2 linked regions of the Astyanax mexicanus genome follow. Each later gene encodes a partner of the first gene's protein in a complex. Links are inferred from orthologs where the notes say so. Each region holds a gene or a part of one and is shown in the gene's direction. Other genes may lie near its edges.

Evidence for each region.
Region 2: the proteins of rasip1 (region 1) and rap1b are in contact, whole or in part, in a crystal structure (PDB 5KHO), measured with the Homo sapiens proteins. The link is inferred for Astyanax mexicanus from reciprocal best matches to the Homo sapiens genes RASIP1 and RAP1B. Residues at the interface, in NP_060275.2 of Homo sapiens: Val147, Lys149, Ala156, Ser157, Gly158, Ala159, Asn160, Tyr161, Lys162, Ser163, Val164, Leu165, Glu181, Arg182; in NP_001010942.1 of Homo sapiens: Val24, Gln25, Asp33, Pro34, Thr35, Ile36, Glu37, Asp38, Ser39, Tyr40, Arg41, Glu54, Leu56, Phe64.

The regions. Positions count from the first base shown.
Region 1 is NC_064413.1:6,836,556-6,853,119, forward strand, and holds the start of rasip1 (ras-interacting protein 1), read left to right. Parts: upstream 1-7,608; 5' UTR 7,609-7,952; intron 7,953-15,551; coding exon 15,552-15,673; intron 15,674-16,564. UniProt on the Homo sapiens protein: Required for the proper formation of vascular structures that develop via both vasculogenesis and angiogenesis.
Region 2 is NC_064409.1:11,821,726-11,838,289, forward strand, and holds the start of rap1b (ras-related protein Rap-1b), read left to right. Parts: upstream 1-7,647; 5' UTR 7,648-7,797; intron 7,798-16,564. UniProt on the Homo sapiens protein: GTP-binding protein that possesses intrinsic GTPase activity. Contributes to the polarizing activity of KRIT1 and CDH5 in the establishment and maintenance of correct endothelial cell polarity and vascular lumen.

The DNA.
Region 1 (16,564 bases):
AGCTGGATAACGGTGGAAAAAAAACTGATTTATCGGGGCAAATTATGCCTCGTATCACCCAGTCTGAAGGGTGTCTGGACAAACTGTTAAAATTTCTGGATCTCAGAACACTGTGGGAGAACGGAGGTGTGCTATTCATCAAAGGTAAGAACTTTTTATCATGTTTTACTACACAAAAAGTCTATTTTACACCGGAGTTCTCCTTTAATGGCAAAACGGTGCCACAGTTTTGATCAAATGTAAGTATGTCATTTGTATGTCATTTGTTACACAGGCCATGTCTAAACATGTCAGTTCTCCTTCCTTCCTCAGAACAGGAGACACACATCACTCTCTGACCGACAGACCGTTTCCTTCCGCTACTCAACCCTGACTAAAACTTCCAACCACTGCTGTTCAAGAACAGTTACAGTCCAAAAACATGGACATCAGGTAAACTGGATACTCGTAACTGCTCTGCTCTGCTCTGTGTGTATGGGTGTATGGCTGTATCAATGAAGACCTGTATCGATGCCAGTGGCATTGCTTGGCTATGTAAAATTTGGGGCTCAGTTCAGTTAAAGGAGAAGTCCAGTGTGAAATGCACTTGTGTTGTAGTAAAACATGACAAAGGTTACAAACTTTTGTCTAATAGCCCACATCTGCTTAACCCCAGCATTCTGAAATACAGCACTTTTAGCTGAAGCTCCTAACAGGCTTACAATGTTAGTGATAGGGGCATAGAGTTGCCAATGGAAAGAAATCACTATTTTTACACCATTAACCAACTCAAATACCTGCACACTTCATTGGTAGAATTCCCGGTGCCCTAACATATGGACATAGATATATTCACAAGCACGGTTGCTATTTAATCTATTGAGGTGGAAGACGTGAAAATAGACTGATGACAGGGTGTAAGATAACAATTAGCATCACAATGCTTCATATATAGGGTGCAAGATAGGGCCCTGAGTGTAGTCTGTTTTTTTTTTTTTATATTTTATTAAATTAAAATGCACATGAACAATCCAATCAAAAGCAAAACATAACAACAGACAAAAGCATACAAACTAGTGCATCTGAAAAAAAAAATAGAATATCATTGAAAAGTGACTTTATTTTAGTAATTTAGTTTATAATTGGAAACTCATATATTATATAGATGTATTACACACAGATTGATCTATTTTAAGCATTTTTTTTATTATTTACTGTTGATAATTATGGCTTAAAGCCAATGAAAACCCAATAATTTGTATCTCAGAAAATTAGAATATTATATAAGACCAATTGGTACTTTTGGCAGTGTGTGCAGTTTGTGCTAAGTCCTGCTGGAAAATGAAATCCACATCTAAATAAAAGTTGTCAGCCGAGGGAAGCATGAAGTGCTGTAAGATTTTAAACTTGATAATAAAACACAGTGGATCAACACCAGCAGATGACATGTCTCTCCAAACCATCACTGATTGGTGGAAACTTCACACTAGACCTCAAGCAGTTTGGACTGTGTGTCTCTCCTCTCTTCCTCCAGACTCTGCTCCCTTGATTTCTAGATTAAAATGTAAAAATTTACTGATGATCAGTGATGGTTTGTAGAGACATGTCTGTCATCTGCTGGGATTGGTCGACTGTGGTTTATTATCAAGTCTAAAGTCAGTGCAGTTTTGTTTTCCCACAAAATCTTACAGCACTTCATGCTTCCCTCTGCTACTGACAACTTTTATGAAAATGCAGATTTCATTTTCCAGCAGGACTTGGAACACAGCCAAAAGTAATGAAATGGTTTTATATCATATTCTAATATTCTGAGACACTGATTTTTGGGATTTCGTTGGCTACGCCATAATCAATTAGTGCTAAATGACCTGTGGGGTTCTGAATATTGAAGAACAGGGTGAGGATGGAGGAGGAGGAGGATAATAATAAAGTATACAGAGACACAGATACATGACTACAGTCTGTAATTATTATAAAACTACAGAGTGTCCAGTGTACATGACCAGTGGAGCTGATAAACGGATAATGGGTGTAGAGCCAGGTATGAATGGGGTCTGAGTTTTGAGACACTGTGTAGTAAGTCATTTCTGCCATTGCAGGGCGCTGTATACCACCAGACAGGGCATCAGCCTCCCAGACATGGAAATGAAGCGTACAGTAGCACAGGAGCAGTCTGGAGCTCCCCCAGCTCAGAGAACACACTGCTGTACTGTACTCTCTCTCTCTCTCTCTCTCTCTCTCTCTCTCACTCCATGCACATTCTCTTCTCCAGTCAGGAAAAGCTTTCACTCGCTCGCCAAAAACAAACATGGAGGGACATGGCTGAATGACGCACACCAGCCGTTCACAGCCTGCTGTCACAACTTCCTGTCTGAGAATCCTACAGCTTCATCCTCAGGCCTCCAGTCTGAGAGGGTTCTGCTGCTGTGATCCATAAGCATGCCTCACCTTCATGAAGATCAGTGGAGGAACAGTCCTGTGATAAAGACAAACACTTATGACAAAAGATAAAAGCCCAACAACAATTATTCCTGTAAACGACAATGACCATTTATTGACAACATCAACAACTAATGTTTTTTTTTGTAGTTGACTAATCTGCCGGTTATTTTTCCCGTTTCCCGTCAATTAGTCAGATTATTTTTGTCATGCTCCTTATCTCTGCTTCCTGTAACATAACAACATAAAATAACATGGCATAAAACATTATATAACATAAAAAATAACATAGCATACTTTAGAATATGTGATAAGGAAATATACAGTCATATGAAAAAGTTTGGGCACCCCTATTAATCTTAACATTTTTAGTTCTAAATATTTGGGTGTTTGCAACAGCCATTTCAGTTTGATATATCTAATAACTGGTGGACACAGTAATATTTCAGGATTGAAATGAGGTTTATTGTAACAGAAAATGTGCAATATGCATTAAACCAAAATTTGACCGGTGCAAAAGTATGGGAACCCTTATCCTTTTATTGATTTGAATACTCCTAACTACTTTTTACTGACTTACTGAAGCACAAGATTGGTTTGGTAACCTCATTGAGCTTTGAACTTCATAGCCAGGTGTATCCAATCATGAGAAAAGGTATTTAAGGTGGCCAATTGCAAGTTGTTTTCCTATTTGAATCTCCTCTTAAGAGTGGCATCATGGGCTCACCAAAACAACTCTCAAATGATCTAAAAACAAAGATTGTTCAACATAGTTGTTCAGGGGAAGGATACAAAAAGTTGTCTCAGAGATTTAACCTGTCAGTTTCCACTGTGAGGAACATAGTAAGGAAATGGGAGAGCACAGGGACAGTTCTTGTTAAGCCCAGAAGTGGCAGGCCAAGAAAAATATCAGAAAGGCAGAGAAGAAGAATGGTGAGAACAGTCAAGGACAATCCACAGACCACCTCCAAAGAGCTGCAGCATCATCTTGCTGCAGATGGTGTCACTGTGCATCGGTCAACAATACAGCGCACTTTGCACAAGGAGAAGCTGTATGGGAGAGTGATGCGAAAGAAGCCATTTCTGCAAGCACGCCACAAACAGAGTCGCCTGAGGTGTGCAAAAGCAAAAGCACACCTCAGGCGATATTTGTGGTGTGCTTGCAGAAATGGCTTCTTTCGCATCTCCCAATATACATGATGTACATGATAAATGTACATGATATTTACTCAAAATATATAACAATCTCTACTAAAATAAAATAAGGGCCAACTATGGTTTATTAAAGAACATCGCTAACCCTTGTATTTTCTTTATTTTTTAAATGTGTTGTTGCACATATGACTATTTGTGAGCTGTTGTCCATCAGAATAGACCACAAACCAGCCAATAAACACGTTTATAAACAAATGAAACAGTAACTTGGCCCCGCCCACTGCACTGGTAAAAGGGTAGTACTTAAGCTTAATAAATAGAGGCAATTTTTACAAATTTTATGTTATTTAGAACACCTTTTAATCATGTTTTAACTGTTTAGGGATAGTTCATGAAATAAAAAGGTCAAGATGAAATGCAAAATATTACACACAGGCTCCCAATGCAATAGAAAAATAATAATAATAATAATAACAATAAATATTTTATTTAATTCGATTTTTTTGTCTATATAGATTTTATAGTAAAATATTCTATAAGAGTCTTCTTTTCTCTGCATTACAGATAGAAAACAGCATTCTTACATTTTTTCCATCACTGGAGATAATTCAGGTCTGAAAGGGTTAAACAGTTGTTTATTCTGTGATTTTACTGTAGAAAAATACAGGAATTAATTACAGTGTGAGAGTGGAAATATCCTACTGTATTCAGTACAATGATTGACTTGGTTAAAGAACCATTAAAGAACTATATTTAAGTGTACAAAAAAGGCCTGTATTTACAAACCTCTTCAAAACAAGGTCTGTATTTAATTTCTTTCTCTCTCTCTCTCTCTCTCTCTCTCTCTCTCTCTGTCTCTCTCTCTCTCTCTCTCTTTTTCTGTCTCTCTCTCTCTCTCTCACACACACACACACACATAGACACACACTCCCTCTTTCCTGTCACCATCATCCTGTTGTTGTCAAAGTCAAAGGTCATAGGTGCCTTTCTCTCAGCAACTTCCTGTTGGACAAGCTTTCCTACTTCCTGTAGTCAGAAAAGACCCCCGATCCAAATCAAATAAAACAGACTAAGTATAAAACATGCTGAGCTAAGCGTAACTGTGTGCACTCGCCCTATCACTGCCTGTAATAACACGTTCTACCACAGAAAGGGTGCCATTTGCTTGGTGTATTAAAATTAAACTTAATTTTTTTATCTTTTTCTCAACTCTAAATTTAATAACACACATATTTAACCATTCAAAACATGTACTGGTCAAACTCAGGCAGCTTTACTTCATTTTATACATGTTTTCTAAGCGGAAGTCTTAGTCCTTGTAACCAAAACTCATGTGACATTTAAAAAGCATGTTTGAAAAAAGATTCCACTAATTCCTTTGATTGTCTCTCAAGAAAGTATTAATTTTAATGAAATGGTTTACTGCACATTCAAATAATTGATATTTATGACAATAAAAACACTATATATGCATGCACATTTAATTTTTCTAAAATTTGCAAAGCTATTTTTTATCTTTTACATTAACTAATATTTACATTAATGAATCCATAAACCAGGGGACTCTACTGACTCCTGTTACTGGCATTCATTCCTGTTACTGTTTATGTTATGAGTAACATGGCTGAAAGTCACAGGACAGAGTTTTTAGCATAGAATTAGCAAAAACATGAAAATAGCTAAATAGCGGCTATGCTAATAGCATAAGGACACTGAGAATATTCTTGAGACATTCCCAAACTTTTTATTTTAAAAATAAACAAATAAGATCTAATAAGTATTAATTTGGGTAACAGGACAGAGTGTTGAGATTGAACTCCTCAGTCATAGTTACAATAAAATAAAATATACAGAAAAAACTAATGAGGGAATTTAATGTTGTTCTTCCCATAGTCTTCAGAAAAAGCAGCTGATGTCACTTCCTGTTGTAGATGTGATGTAGATGTAGAATGTTCCAGATGTTTCAGATATTCAGGGTAATCTGTTACAGTAACACGACTGAGTGAAAGCCAGGGACACAACTAAAATGTGTATTTTAACTTAAATATTATGGATTTATTATGAAAGCACAGATGGGATTTGGAGTCACACAACAATGCAAAAACATACATCTCTGAAGGATTTTAATATTTATATTTCAGGACAGATAACAAATGCTATTTGTTCAGTGTTCTAAGTAGGTTTATTATGTTTTAATTACCTATTTTACATTTGCAATTAGATCAATGTCCAAGACACTATGCGTAATAATAAAATGTTTTCGGTAGAATACGCCTTAAACTGTACTGAAAAACAGCAGTGGAACCTTTTTGGTGCTATCTGCAATATTATTTTAAATGGTTCTGTGAAGAATTGTCTACAAACACCCCTATGTGCAACAAACCTATTAACCAGGCAACCGTATATAGCAGGAATTGGCAATTAAGTTTGGCCATGGGATGGAGATAGGCCAATGGGATGGAATGCTACAGACTGGTAGCTCTCCAGCCCAGAGGGTTGTTGAACTCAATTGCAGAACAGTTGAATTCTGAAAAGAAAGCAGGAAAAGAAATGACGTGGGGTCGCGGCTAAATACACCACCACTGCCCTAGCTAGTATATTAAGACAAAACTAGGAAAAACACTCTTATAAGGAGATACAGAGCCCAAGAATGGGCGGAAACTAAAGTGACGCCGAGTTTGACAAAGACACACAGGAAGGGATGTAAACAGAAGGTCACCTGAGAAGCATTTTATTTTTATTTTTTTCTTTCATTATCGTTCATTATAGTTTAAACAACCTAATGGGCCAGATGTTTCACGCTTGCAGGCCACATCTGGCCTGTGGGCCACCTGTTGCTGACCCCTGCTATATAGTATGAAATGATATAAGCTCTTTTAGCTCATAACAATACAGTACTAAGGCCTGTAGCACTATAGGCTATAGGGAGGCCAGTTTGGCTCTACAGGTATGAGGTTTTGTTTCATGCCCTGAAGAAGGCCAAAAAAAAAAGTCAAGTAATGGGGATGAAAACTTGAGTTAGCATAACTTACAACATCAAGTTATTACAACTAAAGGGGAAGTTGATTTAACTTTTTTATTTTTGTTATACTGTAAAACCAGATAAGTTGAGTTTACTTAACTTTTTTAAGGCAGCTGGATTACTCAAATTTATTAAATAACGAGAAATGAAAACATCAAGTTATTACAACTAAAGGGGAAGTTGATTTATTTCTAAGGTAGCCCAGGGGGAATCACTACACACTGATGGTGAGTGTTAGTCAGAAACTGTTGGACACACCCAGTATGCAAATAGATTGTGACAGAAGCCAATGGAAAAGAAGCAGTTAATGACAAAACAGACTAAACTCAGTTATTATAAACTGGTTCAACTCAAAGATCTCAGTTTGAATGTTTATATGTGCTCAAAAAAACTTTCAACTCACTTAAAATAGTTGAGTATTGTTTAGAAATATCCAATTTTATGTAACACAGACTTCATTTGAGTTCAATCAACTTCTGGGTTTACGGTGTACCTTTTTATATTTAAATTTTTGCCCTGCTTCAAAAGAGCACCTGTTGGAAAGATTTACGATTGTAATACTCCTAGTAGTGCTTTAGCCTATCTTTTTCTTTGTCCCTAGTCTCTATACGTCTACCTACAGAGTAATGAATAAGAATACATTTTGACATCTCTAATTCCAACACTGACTGACCACATGTTGAGCGCTCTCTCTAACTCTGGCTAAATTCAAGCTAGCAGGAACTGGATAGCATCTCATTCAAAATTAGCACTATTAGCGTACTGTACTATTAGCGAACTGTACTTAGCCTTAAATCTATACATACTGTACATACATTACTGTAGTATATGTATGCATGTTTATGGCCTAACAACATTTTACACACTCATACATCATACATTATAATATTTCTCTCTCCCTTCACCCCCCCCCCACACCCTCCCTCCATCCCTCCCTCCCTCTCCCTCTTTCTGTCAGGATATAGGTGTTGTCCAGCAAGGGGGAAGGAAATTCTGTCACTAAGAACAATAGGCCTGCTTCTCTATCTATAGACTGGGATCAGGAGAGAGAGAAAGAAAAAGAGGCAGACGGGGGAAAGCAAAAGCGAGGCTTATTAGAGTCGCAGAAAAGACAAACTCAAATTGAGAAGGATGTGAATTTTTATTTTATTTTATTTTATTTTATCAAGTCGGAAAAAAGTAAAATAATTTTCAGTATCCAGCAGTGAGAGACAATTCCGAGAACATGGACTAATCAAACGTCGCTACTGTGGAATAAGGAGCCGGACAGCGTACTAAAAGAGACTAAAAGTTTGAGCCCAATTTTTCATCAGAACAGCATCCTTTAACGAGTCGCAGTGGGTGAGTCACATTACTGGTGAGGGGAAACGATTACGCTATACTAAAGAATAGACGCTCTTTGAACTATTGTTAGCGTTTTTATGCCTTTTCCACATCAAACTGCTAAATTGACCGTTCTGTAAAAAGTACAAGCCGTAGGTTTGGGCCTAGGCTGGACACTGGAGACTGGAGTCGCTGGACAGTGTCTAAAGTGTGAGATATTAGTATTAACCCCTTGATTCCCAGGTTTTAAAAAACCTAAAATGTTACTAATCTTTAATGACTAATAATTAAATGCACTAACACTACTTAGTAGCCTAAGCAGAGGTGGAAACAGTACTGAAAAATTGTAATTAAGTAAAAGTACCTTTACTTTGCTAAAATTCTACTCAAGTAAAAGTAAAAGTACCCATCTAAAAATCTACTCGAGTAAAAGTAAAAAAGTACTCAATTTAAAATGTACTTTGAGTAAAAGTTACATAGTTACTTTTAATTATTTAATGTAAAAAAGTAAAAACAAATCATAAATTAAATAAAAAAATAGTTTTTAATGAACTATTATTCCACATAATAATTTGGACCTTTCAGGCAGTATTTGTTCAGAACACCCCATAAAACAAGTGGCATAGATTATAGGTTTCTATGATCCATTTTTTTCTTTACTATTAAACGTTTATGGTCATATAGGCGACTATAAACTGTAATTTTATAGTTTTACAGTTCATCATTATTTTTTAACTTGCAATTGCTGTGCTTTAACTGCTATTTTTTTTTTTTTTTTTTTACATTTAAGCAGATTGTTGTTTAATGATGAAAATACTTACCATCACGTGCTTTCTCCGGTTTGATGTGGAAGTTTTGAAAACTGACAGCTCTGTCCGGCGGGGCACATTTTGTATTGCATGAGATTGCATTTTTTTTTTTTATTTAGACAATTGTTTTTTTTTCCCCCCAGCATTTTATTTTGTACTCAGTAATGGGGAGTTTTCCAGTGTAGCAAAGTAAATTACTTGTGTCAAAATGTACTTGAGTAAAAGTAAAATTACCTATTTTAAAAAATGTAATTAATTACTTTCCACCTCTGAGCCTAAGTAATAGCTACTGATTATTCCTATACACTGAAAACAAAAATATTTATTCAACCTAACTCAGTCAAGTCATCATTTTGCTGTGACTGCTTTAAATTGTAGTAAATATATACAATTTTAAGTTTATTCAACTTAACTTAGTTAAAACTGGAAGATGACTTGAATAAGTTACCCCAATTCAACTGAACTGAGTTTTGTTCACACAACAATAGTTTAATTAACTCTGTATAAAGTGTTTTGTTCTCACATATTATTGTCTTAAGCAATTAAGTTAATTTAAAATATACAGCTCTGGAAAAACATTAAGAGATCACTTCAGTTTCTGAATCAGTTTCTCTGATTTTGCTATTTATAGGTTTATGTTTGAGTAAAATGAACATTGTTGTTTTGTTCTATAAACTACAGACAACATTTCTCTCAAATTCCAATAAAAATATTGTCATTTAGAGCATTTATTAGCAGAAAATTAGAAATGGCTGAAATAAAAAAAAAGATGGAGAGCTTTCAGACCTCAAATAATGCAAAAAAAAAAAAAAAAAAAAAAAACAAACACAAGAGTGAACACTGTAGCTCCAAACCAACATACTGTAAGCACTAGGAACTCATAAAGGTTAGTTAGAATAAAGGTAACTTGCTCTTACAGCCTACAACACCGAGGCCTGGCAATTATCAAACATGTGCAATAATAATGCAAAAGGGTAAAGAAAGACAGAGGCCACAACCAGTATGCAAATATATGCAAAAAGCTGTATAAACCAACACAAATGAAAGAGCCTTGGCAAATTCAATGCATTTTATTAATTGGCCCAACAATCATTATTAAGTTTCCAGGTTGAAGTTCTCTGAACTCATTTTATGGAGTTGTACTGGCTGGAAACTTCACACAACTTTTAGAAAGAGTCTAAAAGTGGAGAGGGTGCGCATTTCTAGCGCAGAAAAACGAGCCAAAGAGTCTAAAAGCGGAGAGAGTGCGCATTTCTAGCGCAGAAAAACGGGGCAAAAGAGTCTAAAAGCGGAGAGAGTGCGCATTTCTAGCGCAGAAAAACGGGCCAAAGAGTCTAAAAGCGGAGAGGGTGCGCATTTCTAGCGCAGAAAAACGGGCCAAAGAATCTAAAAGCGGAGAGAGTGCGCATTTCTAGCGCAGAAAAACGGGGCAAAAGAGTCTAAAAGCGGAGAGGGTGCGCATTTCTAGCGACGAAAAACGGGCCAAAGAGTCTAAAAGCGGAGAGAGTGTGCATTTCTAGAGCAGAAAAACAGGCCAAAGAGTCTAAAAGCGGAGAGGGTGCGCATTTCTAGCGACAAAAAACAGGCCAAAGAGTCTAAAAGCGGAGAGGGTGCTCAGTTCTAGCGCAGAAAAACGGACCAAAGAGTCTAAAAGCAGAGAGGGTGCGCATTTCTAGCACAGAAAAACAGGGCAAGAGTCTAAAAGTTGTCGTAATTAAGGAGTTTAATATTAAGAGACATCATGAAATTAAACATCAATTTCAACAATCTTAGTTTACACAACACTGTCAAAGATAAAGATAGTAAGTCAAGTAAAATGGTGTGTAAATGAAATAATCAGGAAAAAGTATTATTTAAAGTGGTATATTTCATTATTTGTTTTATTACAGAGTCTGTGGCCCGTGACTTCAAATATATTTCTCCTTCAGGCCCCCAACAAAAAAAGTTTGGACACCCCTGCTCTAAGAGATTAAGGATAAGTGTTCTACTTAGAACCAATCTTTAAAAAGATGGTGAGAAATAATTAGTAGATTAAAAAAGTAATTAGAGTATAAAAAAGAGTGATAATAAATCCTGTAGTGAGTTCAGTCCTGCATCTGCGTGTTTTCCTCTCTGCCAGTGAGGATGCAGGTGGTCAGGGCCACAGCCACTGTGGACAATTACATATCCTGTTATTAAAATGTGAGAAAACACTGGAATTAGAATAGGCATTGTAGCACTACACAAGATGTGTTTATCTAACCAGCACAATTCAGTATATCACAATAGTGAGTAAGAAGCATTTGCTGCATTATTTAAACGTGACAGATTTAGGGAAATGGCCAAATTGGTTAGATTTGACTGTAAATCAACATTTGTTAAGTTTTCTTTTTTTTACAAAGCATTACTTGCTGTTGGTTGGCAGTTCGCTGTACAGAAGGTTATGCCGTTAATAAGAATAACTAGGAAAAAGTGACTATTAGTCTTAAAACCTGTTATTTTTTACTCCTAATAGAAAATGACACAATGTATAAAAATATAGGAAGAAATAAGGATGTTAATGTTCACATAAACCACAGAAACCAACAATCCCATAAGGAACCATCCAATCCAAAAGAACCATTTACATTTAACCCTTGTGTCTGTGGGACCCGTTTTCATTTTTCATCAGATGATACTAAAAAAATATTTTTTCTAACTCAAACTCATTGTCATTGGCTCATTTTTTGTGAAAAACATATATCAAAACACATTTTCAATAAACACACACTGTACACCCCCCCCCCCCCCCCCAAACCATTTATATTACATACAGTATGTTTGGCCAAGGGCTAATAAACATTGCTTCATTTGTAAATTTGAAACTAAACAAATTTTCTACTCATATCTTGAGTTTAATTCATTTTCTTTTACATTTTATTAAAAAACTAATAAAAAAAAGAGTAGCACTTTTTGAAAGAAATGTAACATAAGAAAGGTAAAAGGCAAATATTAACCATGTAAGCTGTTTATATTGCTTGCAGTTTAGGTGAAGCAAGCATGTGTAAAGCATTTTAATGTAGAATTGCTTAATTTTGCTGAATTAAATACAAATAACAAAGTAAACGAGTAACAAAAATATGAACACCACACAAGGGTTAATTTTGCTGAGATATTAATCTAAATCTATTAGAATCAAAACAGAAATGTTTATTACTGACCCTTAGTCACAATGTTGAAACAAATAAAGAGAGCACTTCAGTTTCTGAATCAGTTTCTCTGATTTTGCTATTTATAGGTTTATGTTTGAGTAAAATGAACATTGTTGTTTTATTCTATAAACTACAGACAACATTTCTCCCAAATTCCAAATAAAAATATTGTCATTTAGAGCATTTATTAGCAGAAAATGAAAAATGACTGAAATAACAAAAAATATACAGAACTTTCAGAAAACAAGTTCTTATTCATAAAGTTTTAAGAGTTCAGAAATCAATATTTGGTTTTTTTTATGCATCTTGGCATCATGTTCTCCTCCTCCACCAGTCTTACACACTGCTTTTGTATAACTTTATGCTGCTTTACTCCTGGTGCAAAAAATCAAGCAGTTCAGTTTGGTTTGATGGCTTGTGATCATCCATCTTCCTCTAGATTATATTCCAGAGGTTTTAAATTTAGTAAAAATAAAAGAAACTCATCATTTTTTTACAGAGCTGTATATAAAATTGGTTTAAGAGAAATAAAAGTGTTTTTAAGAGATAAAAGGTATTACTGATTGCATTACAGCAAAACTTTAAACAAAGAAAAAGAATGTAAAAAAATAGCAGATCATTAAACAGATTTAAGGGTCACACTTTATAATAAGTTTCATTAATATACTTTTAACTAATGATACACAAATGTGAACAAATGCTTACACATGACAATTAGTTATCAGCATGCATTTTTTTAATTTAGTCATTTTAAAAAATCATTAGCTCGTCAGAATTTGAACATTAATACATCACTAGTAATGAGAATTTTAAACCTGATAAATGTTCATCAATTGCAGTTATTGTTGCCAATGTGTTTATTAGTATTCCCAACTTTTTTGTTCCTTAAAATGTGAAAAAATAACAGTTCATTAGCATTCATTAGTTAATCATATATTAATAAAAGTTATTATAAAGTGTTACCAATTTAAATTTTAAGAGGATATAACTTTCTAAGACTTATTAAAGATATTTTTTTGCAGCGCAAGATCAAGGCCAAGCTAATAGGAAAAAAAATGATAAAATAAATCACATGTAGGCCTGTCACAATATTTTTTTTTTGTGGACGATATATTGTCCCAGAAATTATTGCGATACACAATATTTTTGGTAATTTTAAGACGCTTTTTAAAGACCACAAAATTTGAATGAATCATTTATTATAATAATTTTGGGAATTCTATACTTATTTCTTTACATATTTTGTCCACACTGTGTGTGTGGAGTCACAGTTATTTAAGCATGGCTGGCTAAAATTATGTTCATTATTATATATGTGAACAAACATACAAAAAACACAGTAGGCGATATCACGATTATCAAAAATGATTGAGGTCGTGTTCATTTATTGTACGATAAATCGATATTGCACTTATTGTGACAGGCTTGATCACATGATCACGTCGAAGCTTCAGCTATTCCCTCTCTATTGCTGTGGCATTCCCCTCCAGCTCTCCTCCACTAACATCCTCAAAGGCTTTACTCACAGCTGAACAAAGCAGGAAAAACGCGCGACCTTGCATGTCCTGATTACTCGAAAGGGTATTTCAGGATTTCCCGTCGCCTATCAACTGATGTCATACGCTGCCAATAACCCTGTAAGCTGATTTAGAGGAGAAGGACAATAGAGGGGCTAAAGGATTAATGACACGAGCAAGAGGGAGAATTCCCTAATTATGTTACAATCTCAAAATATGACTCATGGTATTTGATTCAGAGACTGATTGCCTTTTTTTTTACATGAGTTTCTTGTTGCTTTTGTTTTATACATGCCTATACAGTACCGGGAAAAACTTAAGACTCACTTTAAAGGAGAACTCCGGTGTAAAAATTTTTCTTTTTATGTAGTAAAACATGATAAAAAGTTATTTCCTTTGATCATTTGCACACCTTCGTTCTCCCACAGCGTTCCCAGAACCGGAAATTTTAACAGTTTGTCCAAACACCCTTCAGACTGGGTGACACGGGGCATAATTTGCCTTGATAAATAGTTTTTTCCACCGTTATCCAGAGTATAAAGTAGCTCCAGAGTCCTGACATTTAAAACGAGACATTAATAACTTAAAAAGTGCACAAGATTCTTATTAAAAAAACACTCTTTATCTGCTACGCTATGCGGATTCTATGTATATATACGTTATGTTATGTTATTATCAGTACAGTAATGGCGGCGCTCAGAGCTGAAGCTCGCATTGTAGGATGTAAACAGTGGTTTTTAATCAGCTTCTTGTGCACTTTTTAAGTTATTAATGCCTCATTTTAAATGTCAGGTCTCTTCAGATTCTAGCAAGGAGGTGTGGAGCTACTTTGAGCTGGATAACAGTGGAAAAAGCTATTTATCGGGGTAAATTATGCCCCGTGTCACCCAGTCTGAAGGGTTTTAGACAAACTATTAAAATGTATGGATCTCAGAACGCTGTGGGAGAACAGAGGTGTGCTATTCATCAAAGGTAAGAACTTTTAATCATGTATTACTACATACAAAAAATCAATTTTCCACCAGAGTTCTCCTTTAAAATCAGTGTTTTTTCATTATTTTAAAATGTTCTGCATTGTAGGTTAATACTAAAGTCATTCAAACTATGAAGAAAAAGAGTAAACTAACCACAATATCTTTTTTATATTTTAGATTTTTTATTTAGATATATTTTATAGTCATCTGGAATTTCAGGCTTTCAGTTAACAGCTGTGCTGAACTCATCAAGAGTTAATTACCTGAATTTCTTGTCTCTTAATGTGTTTGAGAGCATCAGTTGTAAAGTTGTGAAGAGGTAGAGTTACAGGTATACAGTAAATAGCTCTATTTGAGTAATGTTCTAATCTATATTATGAGAAGCAAGAACTACTCAACTAAATAACGAAAACAAAATACTTGAAGAAATGAAGGTCAGCCAATCTGAAACATTTCAAGAACTTAGTTCCTGAAATGATCCTCAATTGCAGTCACAAAGACCATCAAAAACTTAATGATGAAACTGGCACTCATCAGGACTGACCCAGGAAATCAAGAGCAAGAGTTCTCTCTGTTGTACAGGATAAGTTCATCAGAGTTATCAGCCTCAGAAACTGCAAGTTATCAGCTCCTCAGATAAGAGCACATAAATGCTTCTTCACAAAGTATTTTGTTTTTGTTTTAAACACTTTTAAGGGTACCACTTTAAAATAAGACTACCTTTATAAAGGGTTTATAAATGATTTACAATTAATTTATTAATGGTTACTAATTAGGTATAATCAGTAATCATTAATAATCAGTTATAACACATACATAGAAAGGGCAACAATGACCTGTTGTTTGCAAAATAGTGAACCCACAGCCGTCTACATTGTTGTCCTTTCTATTTATGTGTTATAACTGATTATTAATGATTTTAAGGCATTTACAACCTAATTAGTAAGCATTAATAAACTAATTGTAAACCATTTATAAACCCTTTATAAAGGTAGTCTTATTTTAAAGTGGTACCCTTTTAAGTTACTACATGATTCTTTATGTGTTCCTTCATAATCTGGATGACTTCATTTAAGTATTTCTATAAACTTTCCTACTGTTTCTATCCTGCTCTATATCCACCTCCATCTCTTAATCATTCTCTCTATCTCTTTTCCTTTAAGATGGAGGAGTCTGGGAGTCCTCGTTTCAGCAAGCTCCATTTCCCCATGGGCCTGTGGATAAATTCCCCACGGAAACACTTCGCCAAGCTGGGTGCACGCTGGCCGAGCGCAGTTTCAGTCAAGTCAGTGTTCCTGAAGTTTCTCAATCTCGCATTCATTAGCTAAAACACTCTGTCATAGTAAAAAAAACATTCCACAGGTGTTTTCTTTGATAGGACTGAGTAGGGCAGGGATCTGCAATTAAGTTTAACTGTGGGCCAGATATATATTTTTCAAGCCATTATGTGGAGGGCCACAAAAAAAATCAGTTTTGTAAAATGTGTAAAAAAGTGTAATGGGATGGAGTGCTACAGACTAGTAGCTCTCCAGCCCAGAGGGTTGTTGAACCCAATTGCAGAACAGTTGATCTCAAAGCAGGTAAACCCAAGCAGAAAGGAAAAAATAAATAAATGAACACACCGCCCCTTACGCGGGATCAAACCCATGTCTTCAGGGTCGCAGTCCAATACACTACTGCTGCCCTGGCTAGTGAACTGGGACACAGCCAGGAAAAAACACTATTTTAAGGAGATATGGGAGCCCAAGTACGGGAGTGAAAAGGACAGAGAGACAGGGAAGGAATGTAAACAAAAGCTGGCTAAAAAAAACTTTTTATTATAGTTCAAACCCCTGGAGTAGGAGGTGTGACAGTTATACAGAGGTCAGGGTTCAGTTCACACCACAGTTTGGACAGAGTTTGCTCCAAGTCCAGCAGCAATAAGACCTGGGGCCCTATTTTAGTGATCTATAGCGCACCGGTCAATTGCGGAAAAAAAATTACACCTAGTGCAGCTCGAAACCCACAAAAGGCATGTACTAATTTTTTTAAATAATCATGGGTATGTTTTGGCGTAATGTAAAAGAAACCAATCAAAAAAACTGTCACTTGCCATTCCCTTTAAGAGCCATGTGAGCTCTGACTTTGGCATGTTCGTATCTTAACAGTGCAGCACTTTTGTGTTTGTGTTTAACGA
Region 2 (16,564 bases), on another chromosome or scaffold:
GTTAAATTAACACTGAGGGTGTAAAGTTTAACACTAATAAGTGTTGATTTAACACTAATAGTGTTGATTTAACACTGCCAATTTTCCTGTCCATGCAGAGAATATATAAGTGATAACCAATAGTTTAAACCAATATCTGTAGAAAAACATGAACAGAACAACGTCTTTTAAAAACAAAAACTTGAAGCCACCACCAGTCTAGAGCCTCTGCCTGCAGTATGATATGAAACACATCCTCTTAGGTTTCAAAGCCGAAACAGTCAATTTTCCAACTTTCTAATGGAAGTTGATGGAAACTGATGGAAACACTTCAAGAGTTTCAAGAGTTGAACCATTCCAATGAAGAACTGGTGATAAAGACAGTTGGGAAGCTGTGTTTTAAATTGCACAGTTCCTTAACTTGTTGTGTGTTAAAAGCCTAAAATCTCATTCAGTGCCATATTTTTACCTCAGCCCTTCGTTCATGATCTCTAATCCTTTGCTAATGCATCAGGTCATTGGTTTTAGCTGTTTCGCTTAAGCTAAAGGCCCTCTGCCCTCCTGTGGACTGCAGCGTTCAGCCGCTGAACCGGAAATCAATATTAACTCATTTTTTATACTGAGCTTTATCGATTGACCTAGATTTAAGCCCTAATTGAATTTAATTATTAAAGGTATCTCTTTTATTGCCTGATTGCCCTCTCTAATGATACTTAGCAGCCTAAATGTATTTCTCTCTCTTCCTCTTAGTTTTGTCTTTTTTGCTTTCTCTCTATAGAACTTTTTGAGATAAATTTAAAAAGGTTTAGAGAGATTCTCAAGAATAAAAAAGTATAAAGTTAAGAAGAAATCTGTTTAAAATAAAATTTCTTTAAGAATATTTTGTGTCCAGTCCCTGAGCTAGCTCAGAACAGGCTTTGGAGACTGTGCTCACAGCTGTTAGACACTCGGCTAAGGGGCGTACATTGTTTAGCCTCCTGTGGCTGCATGTGCTTCACTGGAAACAGTAATCAGAGGCATTCCGGAAGACCAAGACAAACACCCTCTCACTCTTTCATTTCACCAGTGCAGTTGTAATCACTGTTTGCCTCTTCACATCTATCTGTCAGAAAGACAAAAATTATACTAAAGGATTTTACCCCAGTGCCTTCTCGTGTCTGTGTTTTGTCCCCTGTGTCTTAGCATTTAGAACATTTAGCACTTAGCTTAAGTAATAATGACCTGATACAAAAAACAGACCTTTTTCTATTTGTCTGTTGGGTTAATAAAAAAAAAACAGAGGTTGGGTAAGTGTGGACTCTCAGTCTTGGCCAGGCTCTGCTGCCATGTTTGAACATGTTGTAATGTGTGTTTAGAAACCTCTAATAATGACCTGAGACGGCTCATGTGTCGCCTTGTGTTTTTTTCTGTTGCTTGGCAAAGTGTGTCATGTGACATGTCTTTTGTAATTACCATGTAATGCAATCAACACTTTCTGACCACTGCACTTTCAGGCTTGCTGTGTTAAACATGTCGTTAGGGTTTGGGCAACTTGTACTGCTTATTTTGTTCCATTCTGTTTCATTTTTACATAGAATTCCTAAGAGACACAGGGCTCATTTACAGTCAAGCACAAACAAAACAAGGCAAAACCACTGTAAGCGCTAACCACACTGCAGTTTTGAAATGCAGGACTGTATCCTGTGTAGTCATAACCAAGCCCAATGGAACAACCAAATCCTCACTGCTTGGTGTAGATGTTTGTATCCAGACACCTCCTCTGGTTTGTGTGTCAGAATGACTTGCAGCACGCCATTAAAGAAGCTACATTCTACATTTTTCCCTGAAGTCCCTAATGTTAGGACTGAAATACTGCACATAAACAACAAAGAAACAGCCTCTGTATTTTAATGTGTTGAACATTACAAAAACTATGAATTCAAATTTTGGCAAGTAACGTTTTGAAAATGTAATGCAAATACCAATCTTAAGATCTATAAATCTCCTTGCTCATTCTTTTTCTGTTACTGCCTAACAGTAGCCAGACTACAAAAAGACAAACACTTGTAATAAAAGCACATATGAGAGCCAGTACCTTGTTATTACTTTATATTCTTTAGGCATTCTTTTGTCATTTAAATTACTCATTCAGGTAGCTTAACAGCAGGGCTCCACAAAAAGGCTCTTTTGGCTATGTGCTATGATCACAAGCTATATTTCATAGGAAGAATGCTGAGGCCATAATGTTGGTGTTACACTGATTAGACTAGAAAATGTTTCTCTCTAAATAAAACTTAAAAATAAACATTGGTTTAAATACTGCAGTACAGTACAGACAAAAAAATACATAAATGCAGGGCTGTAGAAAAAGAAGACGCTAAAAAAAAACCCTACCTACATTCTGGCAATATTTAGCAAAGGAGTCAGGAAGTAAGGCGATGTAGGACCCTGCAAGAGCTATGATAAGTTCATTTAAGAGTGGCACTAGGGACCCAATTGTACTATTCCTGCTACGTAAATTACACATTTTAAAACTTTACTCTTTGAAATGTTTACACTTATGTTCATAAATCTAAAATGTCAAAACCATCAGTAAAATTCCGGGGCTTTCAATTGTCTAATTTAAAGCTATTGAGCATTGCTCTGTACATGGCCCATTAATTGGTGTGTGTGTGTGTGTGTGTGTTGAAATTGAGAGAGAACACTCCCAGAGCAGAATGTCTCACAGCAGTTAAAGTTCCTCCCATTAGCCTAATTTATCACTCTCACAGAAGATGAGCCACTGCTATCAAGAAGAACACGCCGATAATCTATTTCTGTTGCGCTCTGGTTAAGACACCCGAGGTGAGGCTTAAATAGTCATATTACAGCATAGCAACTCGACAAAGAGCCTGACCTTTTTCTGATTGCCTGCTAAATGTGGTTTGCAGCCAATTCTGACTGTCATTGCTGTTGCATCAGAGATATTTCTAATGCCTATTGTTACTGTAACTCTCTGAAGAATTCCTAATCACTCATGCTTTTCTGTTTTCCCTTTGTTGACCTCAGGCTGTGTCTTGATGTCAGGGGAAACAGTTGATGGTGTGCAATCGTCATGAAGAAACTGTGAAACCCCACCCAGGCAGGAAAGAAATGGCTAAGAATAGTCTCTCCGCTTGAGTTTCCAGCCGCCCTCACTCGTGGGAGTTCCTGTAGCCTCTGTTAGATCTGGAGGGATGCTTTTGCCTCCCCTAGTCTGGAGTGGGTCACAGGGGTAGGCCAAATGCCTTGACCAATATTTCATTTCAATAGTCAAACTTACAACAATGAACATTCAGTGCTTGTTAATATGCTCATGTACTGCCTTTTACATGAGTAATTCTGAGTCAGTCATTTCTTTTGAAGTGGAAAGTCATACATGGTCACAGCCAACAGGCCACTGTTAAACATGATGTAGGGTGTATGATGTTTCCAGAAAAACACATGAATGGGCAAAGTGTTCCAGCTTAGCCTTAAACTTAACCTGAATAGGACACTGAAAACTGGACCTTACAGTGCTTTTCCACATAAACGGAAAACCTAATTTTGAACCACTCGCCGAGTTTCCACCAACAAAAGAAGGTTTCAGAACCAGGAACGTTTCTTTGCAGCAGGAACCGAAGAATACTAGGTTCTTCAGCGTGAACCGTGACGACATCTGTGAGCTGCCGCTGTGCAAATCCCTCAGTTGATGTGACGTTTTGACGGTTCTACTAAAACTGATGGAAACGCTGACTGGTTCGATTAAAAGACCCATAGTATTTATAAGTCCTAACCGAACTGGTACAAGAACCAGATTTCGTTAGGTGAAAAACCATTGTTTGAGTGTAATGATGGTCATCTTAGCTATACTGGTAAGATTGTTACATGGATACAGTAATACACACGATTGGTAGTGACTACAGCCTGACCAGTAATTTGTGGTGATGGGTCCAGGCACAGTTGTATGTAAAGGCCATGTATCCCATTTCTGTTAACATTACTGGGATTCAAATTTGAATTAGGTATTCTAACAATACAATATACGGACAAAATGTTTCTTCTGGTCTTCAAGGGTATTTAAAAAAGATTTTATACTGGTTTTGACTGGAAGTTCATTTCACTGACTACAACACAAATGTAGCAGTTAGAGGCTATTTACGCTAAACCTACACCAACAGGAACACAAAACCTTACACATACATCACATGACCACAAATTCATGGTTAAGTCATTTTGGCTGGCACTTTGTGTAAACATGATGTAAGTACTGGTATTTCAGTGGCACTGTGTGGTCCATGGTCTGTGCTTATGTAGGTTTAGCACTGGGTTATAAAACCTAGTTGTGGGACTAGCGTCTGGGCCAGCACTTCTATCAGTTCTACTATACTGTATGTCTGTACGCACAGCTGAGGACCACATGATCGCTGCTGGTGGGGCGGGAAGGGTGGCCTACAGCAGGGAGTGGGCTCGCATTCCTGATGCCAGAGCATATTTGGAATTCCTGGCCTCTTGCAGCCACTCTCAATGAGCCATTTGATTACTACAGAGACTTTTTCCTGGGCCGTGGAGCAAGACTGTATGAGATGAGTAACGTAGACAACAGGACACCATTCACACCAAGCAGGGAACAGAATGACAGCATTCAAAATTATTCACAGAGGCTCACACAGCAAAAAGTGACCTGTTTGAAATTAGCATGTAGTGTGAGGTCAGTTTACAGGAGGTTGTTGTGGTAACCATTTCACGGATCTTCTTAGAGATAATAAACAACATAGTTTATACTGTGTTTTTACAAAATATGCATTACATATGGTATCATTTTACTAAAAGAGACATGCTAAATATCATTGAACTTTTGCCATTGTCTTGTGGAAGCTAAAGAGAACTGAGCTGACTTGTGGGTTATGCATGTGGGACAACTAAAAAATTGAATGCTCGATCCATCTGGCACCCACTATCAGGCCTCATATAAGCCATATTTCGAGGTAACGCTTAGATACTGCTATCCTTTACTTTTTTATTGACTTGTAAATTGACCCAAAATGATTAATGAAACAAATATTATTTTTCCAAATGTGTTAATTACTGACACATTGTAATATGCTTGTATCCATGATTAGGTTATGCAGTTAGCCTAGAATAAATATGTTGTTTAGCACCATTGACACTGCAGTTTAATCCAAAATTACACATTATCAAAACCAGCCCCATGGGACTTAGACCAGCACTAGTCATTTCCCTGTAGACTCACATTACATTTAAAAGCTCTCACTACCCTGCTGAAAAATACAGATTTTGACAGGAGCAGTTTCTGATTTCCTTTTCAAATGGTCTGCACAGGTCTTGGATGGTCAAAGTGGTTAAAAAATACTCATCCAGGTGAAATATATACCTTATATCCTCTTAAGGTGATAAACCAGCTAAGCTCTCAGATGAGCATAGCATATGTTCGGTCTATAAGCATAACAGACCTGACCTAGCTGATCGTCAAACTGGTTATACTGGTTGACTGATTTGGTGAAGCTGATCATACTGATGACCAATGTCTGGTCAACTAGCTTGGTTAATTTCAGACATCCATTGCTCCTCAGACCAACCACATATTGATAGTAACTCCCTGATACACTCATATCATCTGCTTTCCTGTAAATCAGGAAATAATATTAGTCCCACTTATGCACTTTGTGAGTCATAACTGCTTCGAAAGAGTAACACATAGAGCATCCTGATTGGTCTCTTTGACTTTACATCTCTTTGACTGATTAACTGACTGAATGACAAACTTTCTTCAAAGGCACAAGCTCAAAAACTGGTTCTTGCTACAAAGCTGCAGACACAAGAGATAAGCTTGTGTTGGCTGAAGTTATTTGGTTTATGTGGGTTTGTTTCATTTCTGGATATATTATTGTAAAGGGAAGTAGTGCATGTGTCACACTCAGGTTTCTTGGTTTCAAAAGCCTTGATTCACGATCACATTCAAGATCCACTTAAAGTAACCTACATTAGCTAAGTGTTCCTTAGGTACCAAGGGTTTGTGAATGTATTAAATTTTTATTTAGAATTTCTACATTCATTTATACAATTTCTTTATGTATTACATAATAAAATCAAATGCAGACATTGATATGAATCACCAAACCTCTTGAATTTTAATGAGTACATATTTTAGACCCTACCCTCCAATTGTTAAAATGATAGGCTGTGTGATCTGTATGACACATGCTATCCATCTAATGGCGGTCCACTGCAACTAGGGTTACAGCCTAATTGCATACTACACACTAATATTATAAGATATACACTAAACTTTAAAGTGTGCGGTTGCCAGGTTAGTACAAAATATATTTATTTACTAATTTGTTTAAAATAACAGAAAGTGATGAAGTGTTAATAACATGTCACTAAAGGTGCTCCAGCATTGGTCTAGCTGCACTAGCTTCTTTATCTACTATTTGTCTCATTTCTTGTTCCAGACATGAGCAACTCCTCCATATTCTATTTTACACTGCATTGTGGGATAACAGTGTCCATTGTAACCACAGTCAAAGGTGCAACTAGTTTTTGAGTATGTAGCACACTGAAATGTGTGAAAGTTGAGTATACTCAAATATCTACAATTCGATTAGGTTACGCTATACACTGTTATGCCAGAATGGTAGAGTATGGCCGCTGCACAAAAGCCTTTTCCAGAGCATCCCAAAGATTCTCAATGGGGTTAAGGTCTGGACTCTGTGGTAAACAATCCATGTGTGAAAATGATCTCATGCTCCCTGAACCACTCTTTCACAATTCCAGCTTGATATATTCTGGCATTGCCATCTTGGAATATGCTCGTGCCATCAGGGAAGAAAAAATCCATTGATGGAATAACCTGGTCTATATTCAATATATTCAGGTAGTCAGCTGACCTAATTCTTTCAGCACATACTGTTGCTGAATCTAGACCTGACCAACTGCAGCAACCCCAGATCATTTGCTTAGTTAAATTCAGGTGTTCACTTTTTTTTTTTTTTTGGCCAGGCAGTGTAAAACTAATGATTTATCTTAATTATGTATCTCTACTCTATATGTTCTATATATTTACTCAATATGTACAGAACCAATATGTACAGGGGCATTCCTGTTAAGAAAGTGTTAAAGGATGCAAAGTCTGGAACAAATAAGAACCAAATAAGTGAACATGAGAAACTAAAAAAAAGGTGTAATGAAAATATTTTTTTCACTATAAGATAAGGAATGTGCATATAAATTTTAAAAAAGTAAAATAAATAAATGGCCTTCAATTCCCTTTTGCGTTTTCATTTAGGCTGTATTATATGAATTACATATGTAGGACTGTCCACAGCATTTCAGTGTCAACAAAGGAAGGCTTATCAGATTCTGATAATTTAATGGTAGTTTGTACGTGGTTCACAGGTGGTTATTTTAGATTACTTGTAACCTGTCTTAAAATGTAAGTGATAGTGAACCTCGGTTGGGCTGGTGGGACGGCTCGAAGCGGGCGGCGGAACATTTCCCTTATTTTTAAAATCCAAACCTTGACAGGTATGGTTTACCAGAACAGCAGATGTCTAAATGCTGTATGAGCTGTGAGGATGTGGAGCACATTTCCCGCTTCGTGTTTGTTGAACGGTGGGCAGAGCTCGAGCCGTGATGCTGAAACCGAGGCTGCGACGTCACGCGACAACTCCAAACCTCACCCATACAGAGAGAGAGAGAGAGAGAGAGAGAGAGGGAGCTAGCAAGCTGTAGAGAGAGATAGAGCGATAGAGAGAGGGAGAAAGGGAGAGAAAGGGAAAGAGAGAGGCGTACATCGGGTTGGAGCTCCGGAGCGGATCTGTGAGTATATATTTATCTTCTCTTGCTAGATTTCGCTGTTGTTCCCCGGGTTTTGATGAACGATTTAACTAGTTAGCATAGCGTGGGTTAGCTAAGCTAGTTAACGGTGATTCGGTCAACTGAGAGCTGCTGGAACCAGTGTGGAGGCTTTTTAACGGCCGGTGTGTTTCCGCGGAGCCGTGCGAGAGAGCACCGAGACCGGGTAGATTATACACGGACGCACGGCATCACACACACGGCTTGCGGAAGAGAGAGAGGAAGAGAGGGAGCAGGTCAAACGGCTCGAATATGGCGGAGCCGGAGTAAAACAATTCAACTATCACCGATGATTGGGACGCCGTTTTCTTGTTAAAGCCCGAACCGCGGGCGGTTTAGTTTGTCAGTGAAGTTAGCTTAGGGTTTGTGTTGATGTGAAAACGTTAACCCAGGTTGGTTAGTTATCTATCTAACGCTGTCTAGCCTGCGCAGAAACACACAGCTGTGTGAGGAATGGCGTTTCTCTGCTGTCTGTATTCACCGCTCTGTCTGTGGAAGTTATAGCGGAAATGGAAAAGTTGCACGAATGAGTGATAGCTAGTTAGCTAACTGGCTATGTTAGCTTAGCTGTAGGGGAACTGGGCGTTTCGGCTCGCTAACACGACGAAATGTAGTTAGTTAACCTAAATGAAACGTCTTTTTGGATGCTGCTAACGTTTGAGTGTGTCTCTCTGTCTGGTGTTTTGTAGCGTTAGCCTGCACGCTAAACCGGTTTATTAAATGGCTCGAGTGCATTGAGTCTGCTGCTGCTGCTGCTGCTGGCTCTTCATATGTCTGAGCAGCGACCCCGCCTAGTTTAGAGCCGAGCTGAAGAATAAACTACCCTGATAGCAAAGAACGTTCATTAAACATTAGCTAGCTAGGTTATTACTTTTTGGTTGCATTTCTAGCTTGCGTATTTTAATATTAATGATGGAAAAAACCTTTATTTAACATTATCCCGTAAGTATAGGCGAGTGTCGAAATTCTGACGTTGAATCAACGTTAATTTAAAGCCTTTAAATGGCTGGGGCTCTGAATCTACACTCACAATGCTTTTAGGCAAAAGTATTAAACTATTAAAACTATTATTACTATTATCATGTCAATGTCCCTTTCTCCCCCCCCCCCATTTTCTCCCCAATTTACACGGCCAATTACTCAACCCACTCATTATTAAAACTCCCCCGTCACTAGTGAGACCCCAACACCAGGAGGGTAAAGACAAGCACATGCCTCCTCCGACACGTGTAAAGTCAGCCCCCGCCTCTTTTTAAAATGCTTCTAATGTAGCATTGCCGAGTAGCCAGCGCATTCGGAGGAAAATGCAGCGACTATAAGAACACAGTACAAGCTACAGAAGTAGAATACAAGCTAGATTTACATATGCAGTGTAAGTAAAGTGTAATACAACCAGCAAATATGTAAAAAAAACGCATAACGTTGAATTAATGTAATGTAAAATCATTGTGTACCAATCAGTGTATCAATTCTGACGTAGATCATCATTGTTTCAGTGCATTCGAGATGTAAAAATGAACCATGATTCAACATACTTTTGCTATCTGGCTATAGAGATGAAATGAATGACCCAGGAACAGCAGCAGCACAGTTATCAGTAATTGGACACTGGAAGTGGCCTACTGGTACACAGTATACACCATTACTAGCTAAATTATATGAGAAACATTATGTGTGTTTTGATGCATAGGTATAGTTAGCTAGCTTACTTTAGTAGTGGAGGACCACATGAGTAGGTCTGACCATCATGTTGCAGAGCCATTCTGAAGTATCTTTATCCATAATGTAACCTACCTTGCCGTGAGACAACTTTTGTGTTCTAGCTAACTATGCCTAATATTAGTAATAAGAAGAACATGTATCTAGAGGGCACTTTTTCCACTCTAGCTAGCTACACCCTCTTTCTCCTCTCCTCAGCAGTCTTTTGGTGGTTATTGCAAGTTCTAGATGGCTTCTCTCCCCTCAGCAGTGTGACAGGAGCATATTGAACTGTTTCTGAGGTAGTGCAGTCGTTGTAGGTGGTAAGGAGGATCCTGTTGCCTCTTCATTTATTTTTAATAGCATAATCTTTTATCACTGCACTGCTGCTTTCTGGTCCCTGTCATATGGCAAGTGCTTCAGTTGTAAACATTTTACAAGGGAGATGTTTTTATGAAATGTTGGTGTTTACTGTGTTTGGACAGAACCATTGCTTTTTTTCGGTATCTCATCTTTAAATTGTGGTTAGACCTCGGAGTGAACAATCAGATGGCCTTTTATGGCAAGGTATTTAGGCCTATATAAACAAATACCAAAGTAAACAGTGTGACAGTCTTAGTCCTACAGTGACTCTGTTGTTTTATGTTTTATTGTACATTTTATTTACAGCTAGACAGATGTTTAAACCTCATATAGGATGGAAATTAAATGTATATGAGTAGTCCTGACAACATTAATCCAAAGAGGGTCAAACAGAGAGATTGAACTCAGTCATTCTGCTTTAGTTGTAAATTATCTATGCATATTGTGGTATTTACTCAGATTGTGTGCCTGCATACTATTCTCTAATGCATATTGCTAAATTCTGATCATAAAGAGAATTGGTATCACTTTCTATTTCTAATAGGACTTTATTCATACTACTGGGTTAATTAAGGAAGTGTGTGTAATGATATGTCAGTGTTCAGGGCTGATTATTTCATTCACGGCACAGACATTTCCTGAGACAGTGGTTAGATAAAGTTTCACAGACCCTTTTTTTTGCCTCATATCAAAAATGGATAAGCCCACATTGATGTCTGCAGCTGCAGATTATGAACCTCTGCAACATTTGTTCTGCTGATTTGTACTCTTATGTTTGAAACACCACTTCATGCATGCTGATAGCAGTTAGCATTGGGTCAGTTCAACCTCACCCTGCCGTGGTCTGACCCCAGTTGTGTCCCTCTTGGAGTGAAAGGAAGGAAATCCCCGTGATAGTGTGTCCTCTTGGGCACTGAGGAATGCCGGTTTAGAGGCTCCTTTGGAAAAACAAAATGAAGAGCGTGCAACTTCCTTTCAGAGAGGGATGGTCCACAGTTTGTGTTGCCTTTAAAGGCTTGGGTTTGGCCCAGTGTGTTAGTTGTTAGCATTAATCTTAGTTTTAGGGAAGGATTTAGGACAGTTGTTTGACTGATATTTCAAACTGAATTTTAGTATGTTTAAAAACAGGCTTTTGCACATAAATAGGTAAAATATTAGATAATTACATTGATCCCTATTGGACACATTTGACTAACAAGTGTAAATAAATATATGTGGCTTAAATTATGTTGATTTTACAATGCAAATACCAACTCCAAAGTGATATGTGGCAGTGGACACTAATGCTTAGGAATGTCACCTGAGACTGTTGGAGATAAATGAGACCCAGTATTTATGTTTCCCATTGGGACAGTGTCCTTGTGGTCCTTAAGGAAGCATGGCTGTTATGTTATTTAAGGAATAGATGGATAGTTGTATTGAGCTTACAATTGACTTAAACAATCTCTGTGACTAAGTGATGTACTGATGTGGGAATTGTTGGCTGTTGCTGATACAGTATCTGATGCCTACATATCTACCAGTTAGGCCTGCGTAATGGTCATAGCATCATTATGATAGGAGTCTCTGTGATGGCAATATACATTGAGTGTGCTTTCTAGCTCTGGGCTTAAACCTTGATGGCCTGTGTCTTGCAAGAGTTATTAATATTGTGAAACCCTACTGCTGATACCTGAATGCATCATTTGTAAAAGATAGATTAGCATTAGCATTTGCTCTTCCTGACTACACGGAGTGTGTGACGACGGCTGAACGAGTTGAGTAAGTCTCAGCAAGTCTAAGGCCACAGTGAATGGTTTGGTAACACTAAAGATGTCAGTCTGTAAATTTGTGGGACTTTTTGGGAAACTGAAAGAGAAAAGAGGAAAGGTGAAACTCTGGCGAGGAAAAGCGGGAAATTGTGGGGGTGGAGGGAAGGAGGGTAGTGGGTGTCCCACAGCGAGTTGGCCCACTTCCTCTTTAGGCCAAAGGGCCTTGTGAAACCTGGTGGCCCTGTCATGCTTTCCTTCCTCCTTTCAGTCACGTGACTGCACTGAGGGGAACCAAAGATGCGTCTGGGGGTATCAGGAGATAGCCAGTTTGTGATATACTATCAATTGTTATTTAATCCTTTTATCCTGTCTCAATTCACTAGCTTTAATTGAAGTTCGTTCACTGGCTCTGTGCCACTGCATGTGTCACAGATTGTCAAGATTGTTCGACAACTTGTTGCAGTGATGTTGTGTCGTATGGTTCCGACGCTCGCCGACTCCAACATTTTAATCCCTGAGCAATTCTCTCACATCATTGTCTTCATTCATGCGTGTAAGCTATGGCTGATTACTGTGGCTGCTATTTGTGTCTCTCTCCAATAAAGGAGTTCTACTAAGCTGAGTACGAGTTGAACTTCAGGCCTTAAGAACTTCAATTTAATATAGTTGTTGTGCAGGTTTCTGAATTTGAGTTAATTGGCTTTTTGTGTGTCTTGAATTGTGGAAAGATGACTGTCATAAAGAGCTGTAGAGTGTGCAATGGACTGCAAAAGTTATTGCATAATTCTGGTCAAACATGAATGACTGAGGCACATGACTGCATGACTGGTACTGTTTATTTGCTCAGTTTAACATTCATAACTGTTTCATTTGTTAATGGCACATACATGGCATTTGCAATACTGATAATTTAGAAAGCTGCTTGTATGACAGTATGCATAGAATAAAAGTGCATAATAAGTTCAGTTTCCATCCATTACGGGTATACAAAGGACATTTAGATGATGTAAGCTACTATGAAGAGATTTTACTAGCTCTTTGCTTTTAGCCTGTTGCGATAATGCAACGCATTGCATTGTGGGAGTAGTGAATTTAGTTGTATTTTTCAGATTTTGCAGTGAAGCTGTATGTAACCTGTTCGTTCTCTCTTCGCTTACTTCGTTTACTCTGCCACTAAATTAATTTTCATTATTATGCCCAAACCTGTAATAAATGTCTATTAATTCACAGTAATCCTGATTTAGCTAATTTTTCTGGTGGTAAAAAGAACCAAAGTTTGACTATTAATTTTGACTATTTAGCTGTTTTTGGTAATGGAGCTAGCGATAAAAAAAAAAAGCTCAGTAACGAGAAGAACTGTACACCTCTAACAGCCCAGTCTGTATTGTAAAAATGACAAGGCACATTGATGCATAAAATTGTTTATCGTGATAAATCCTGGGACAAAGGCTGTGTTGTTTTTAGTTTAGAGACACTGGGCAGGACAAGCAGTGGGCCACCTAATCTCTAAATCTGGGAAGGCAAGCGTTTTGCAGATCTTTAGGTTTGATATTTCAAAATGTTTTAAGCACACTTTGAAAAGCTAGGTTTTAATGATTGGACCATCCAGAGGGACACTGGCAACCATTGACAGCTGATTTGCATTACACATCATTGGGACAAAAATATGTTCTGAGACATTCTGGAAGTTGCATGATGCAGTAGTTTAATCACAAATGTAAAAGAAGACGGACTACAAATTGAATAAACTGAATTACACAATAAGAAATGCGGGGAGTGATAAATTATACATGAAACAGCTTTGTTCAAGAGTTAATGTATGTGAAATCTCATCACTGGGCTCTGTGTACAATCATAACCCTGATGCCCTGCTATGATTTGGCATTTGACACTCAGGTTGGCCAGTTTGCATTGATCTAGTCCCCTGCTGCCCTTTTTCCTGTCGCAATCTGCACCCCAACCAGCTGTTTGTCACCAGCTAAGCTGCTTACTGCTTCCAGTGCTGGAGACCATAACTTTGCATCAGGTCCTTGTTTAAGCTAGGAACATACGGCAGTTATGCCCTTTGAGTGTTTGGTGAAGCTAGTGGGGGTTGGTCATGTTAAAGGTGTTACATAATTGTTCTGGACATCACCCACCCAGTAGGCAAGCAGAAGCTGGTCTGAAGTGGGTGTTAGGTAGGCGAAGCACTGCAGGCATTATCTCCACACTGCTTGATAGCTTTGTTTATCTGTTATCTGACTGTAATCTGTTTGATTATTTATGCGACCGTGTTTACACCGTTTTTGAAGTGCGGTTGCAGACGTGAACAATTATAAATAATTATTTTGTGTGTTGATACACACTCTAGTTTAGTGAAAAAGAAACAGTTCTGACTAGTTCTTAAATAAAATTCTTGATGTTTTTTTTGTATAGTCTCCCAAAATATGGCCTACAGCGGTTGTGTTTATTTGTTGAAGTATGTTTGTAATGCACAGACTAGAGGCACAGATTTCCACGCTGGTCCCTCTGAAGATGAGGTTTAAATGGAGTATCTATTTCCCATCAAGCTGAGGCTAATTTGCATGCATCTTTTTCCCCTTCTCCTTGCTCTTGTAAGACATGCAAAGATTCTCATGCAGGCAAGGTGTGAGCTTCGGCAGCACAGAGTGCATTGATTTGTTTCGTTGTTTTGCATTGTTTAGGGTCAAAACAGTGCTTGGGCGGAAATGTGAAATGTGCGTAGCCAACAAATCATTGTTTTATAATTGTTTCTCCTGTCTCCCTGACAACCTGTAACCTAGGTGAATTGATTGACTTGCAAATGACATGTCAGGCTGTGTGCTCTTTCCACTGATTGATGGTGTTGAAACTTACAGGTTACCACTCAACAACATGAAGCCTGTACTTTGCCAAACAAGCCATTCTGTGGGTGTTGGACATGGTCTAGTTGTCGCAGTGTAAAATGATGTCTTTGACTCCAAATATGTCATGTTATAAATTTACTTGGATATTTTGTCATATTGTTAAGGGGGTGAAGTGACACATGGAATTGTACCAAACAGTAGTGGTATCTTTAAGTTGTTGATTGGCTAGGAAAATGTGGGATATTTCTGTCTTCACCTTCTGCGTTTGAAACAAATGAAAATGAGCAAGAATTTTACTAATATTCCTATTAATTCTTGATAGATTGAGAGGTTTTGTATCAAAACATAATATGCTACTTTATACTTTTATTTGTTTATTAAAACAACACTACAGGCTGTATGAGGCATCTTGATGGAGATTTCTCTACCGGTGCTTTACTACCAGAGCTACTAGATGGCCTGAGGTGGAGGTGATTGTGGCTTAGACAGTGGCTCAAACTGCCCCCTCCACTGGAGTTCATGAAAGCCACAATTACACCAGCCAGGTCATCAGTTAGAAAGGTGACTCCCCAGTAAGTGATCTTACAAGCTCTGTGCTACACTGAGTATTAAAGTCCAGGGATATGTGCGTAGGTTTTTATTCGCAGAGCATTCTAACTTGGTACCTGCAGTTGAGACTTAATTATACAGCTTAATGTTGTATACTTTTCTTTTTCTTAATAAATCTTTCAGTGCTGTAGCACAGAACATTTTCAATTGGGGTGTCTCAATGCTGTGGCTTTTTAATAGGCCTGGGGGAAAATGGATGACTGTTGTTACCATTAAGTTGTTCTGTCTTACTGGCAATGACACGTTTTGGCATATCTGTTGCAGACGTTCCAAATAGTATAATTCAAAATCTTTTGCTTAAAGCAGCAAAATCAGTTTTTTTCTGTGGCAGGTAGATAATATAACCAGTCAAAGCTCACTACAGGAGTGAACACAGACAAGGTCTGATAGGCGACAGACACATCATTGTACCTTTTTTATAAGCAGTCTGCTTCTGACATAATGGTCCTGGCACTTGTATTCTTGTGATGATTACATGGTTTCGTCTTGACCCAAGTTTGAAGTGAGGCCTGGAAAGGGCCTGCCTGCAGAAAAACACACTGAATTTGTATTGTAACCTGCTGCGGTTTGTGTTAATAACAGGCAAGAGCCACGTTTCGTGTGGTCATTACAGTGCTGCTTCAGATGTTTACCTCTTGGCCTTAAGCTAGTCTGTAAAACGACATGCGTCATTATGGTTTGGTCATTATGGTATCCTCACTTCTGAGCTGCATTCTGCCTGCTCTGGTTTGACCAGTTTAGGACACATTTAATTTAAAATCATTCTCCTCCAGCTTCTAAATGTTTATCAAGATGGTTCTAAGCAAATTTTCTTTAATTATTTTTCAGATGCACTGTAAAGGTGCAATAGTTTTCACCAATTGAAAATTTTGATGACTGTCCTGAATTAGATCTAGTTTCATCTTTGCATGAAAATGCAGAAAGAAAATTAATGTAAGCAGATTGCTTCCTCATCTTTCTGCTGCTGACGCATTCCCCCGTCTCCCCCTTTCAGGCAACACTTCTCAGAAACGCTATCTTTAGAGGAACATTGGATTTTCTTTTTTGTTTCTTTTCTGTTTTCTTTTGATTTTTAAACTGATATTCTTCCTTCTAAAGCGTCTCATGTACCATATCAGATTTCATATTGTACGTCATAACCTAATCAGTTTTGAAGCACTATGTTTTTGTGGCTCGTTTTTCAAAAACATTGGAGGATCACTGGACTCATAGGGAAACACTGTGTAGATTCGAAAACATCTATATTACAAGTGATTGATTTACAAAAGGTACAAACTACCCACTAAGGCTGTGTGGGTTTTCAGTATGTGTTGAAATATTAAATTATTAACTGTACAACCAATATACAGCTTCGCTCTTTCAAGGGTCTCTTGTGTATCATGTTTCATGAAAACCACTGTCAACAAGAATCTAGCTGCTGTCAGTATAATGGGGAGGATAGTTATGCCTAAATAAATGACGTTT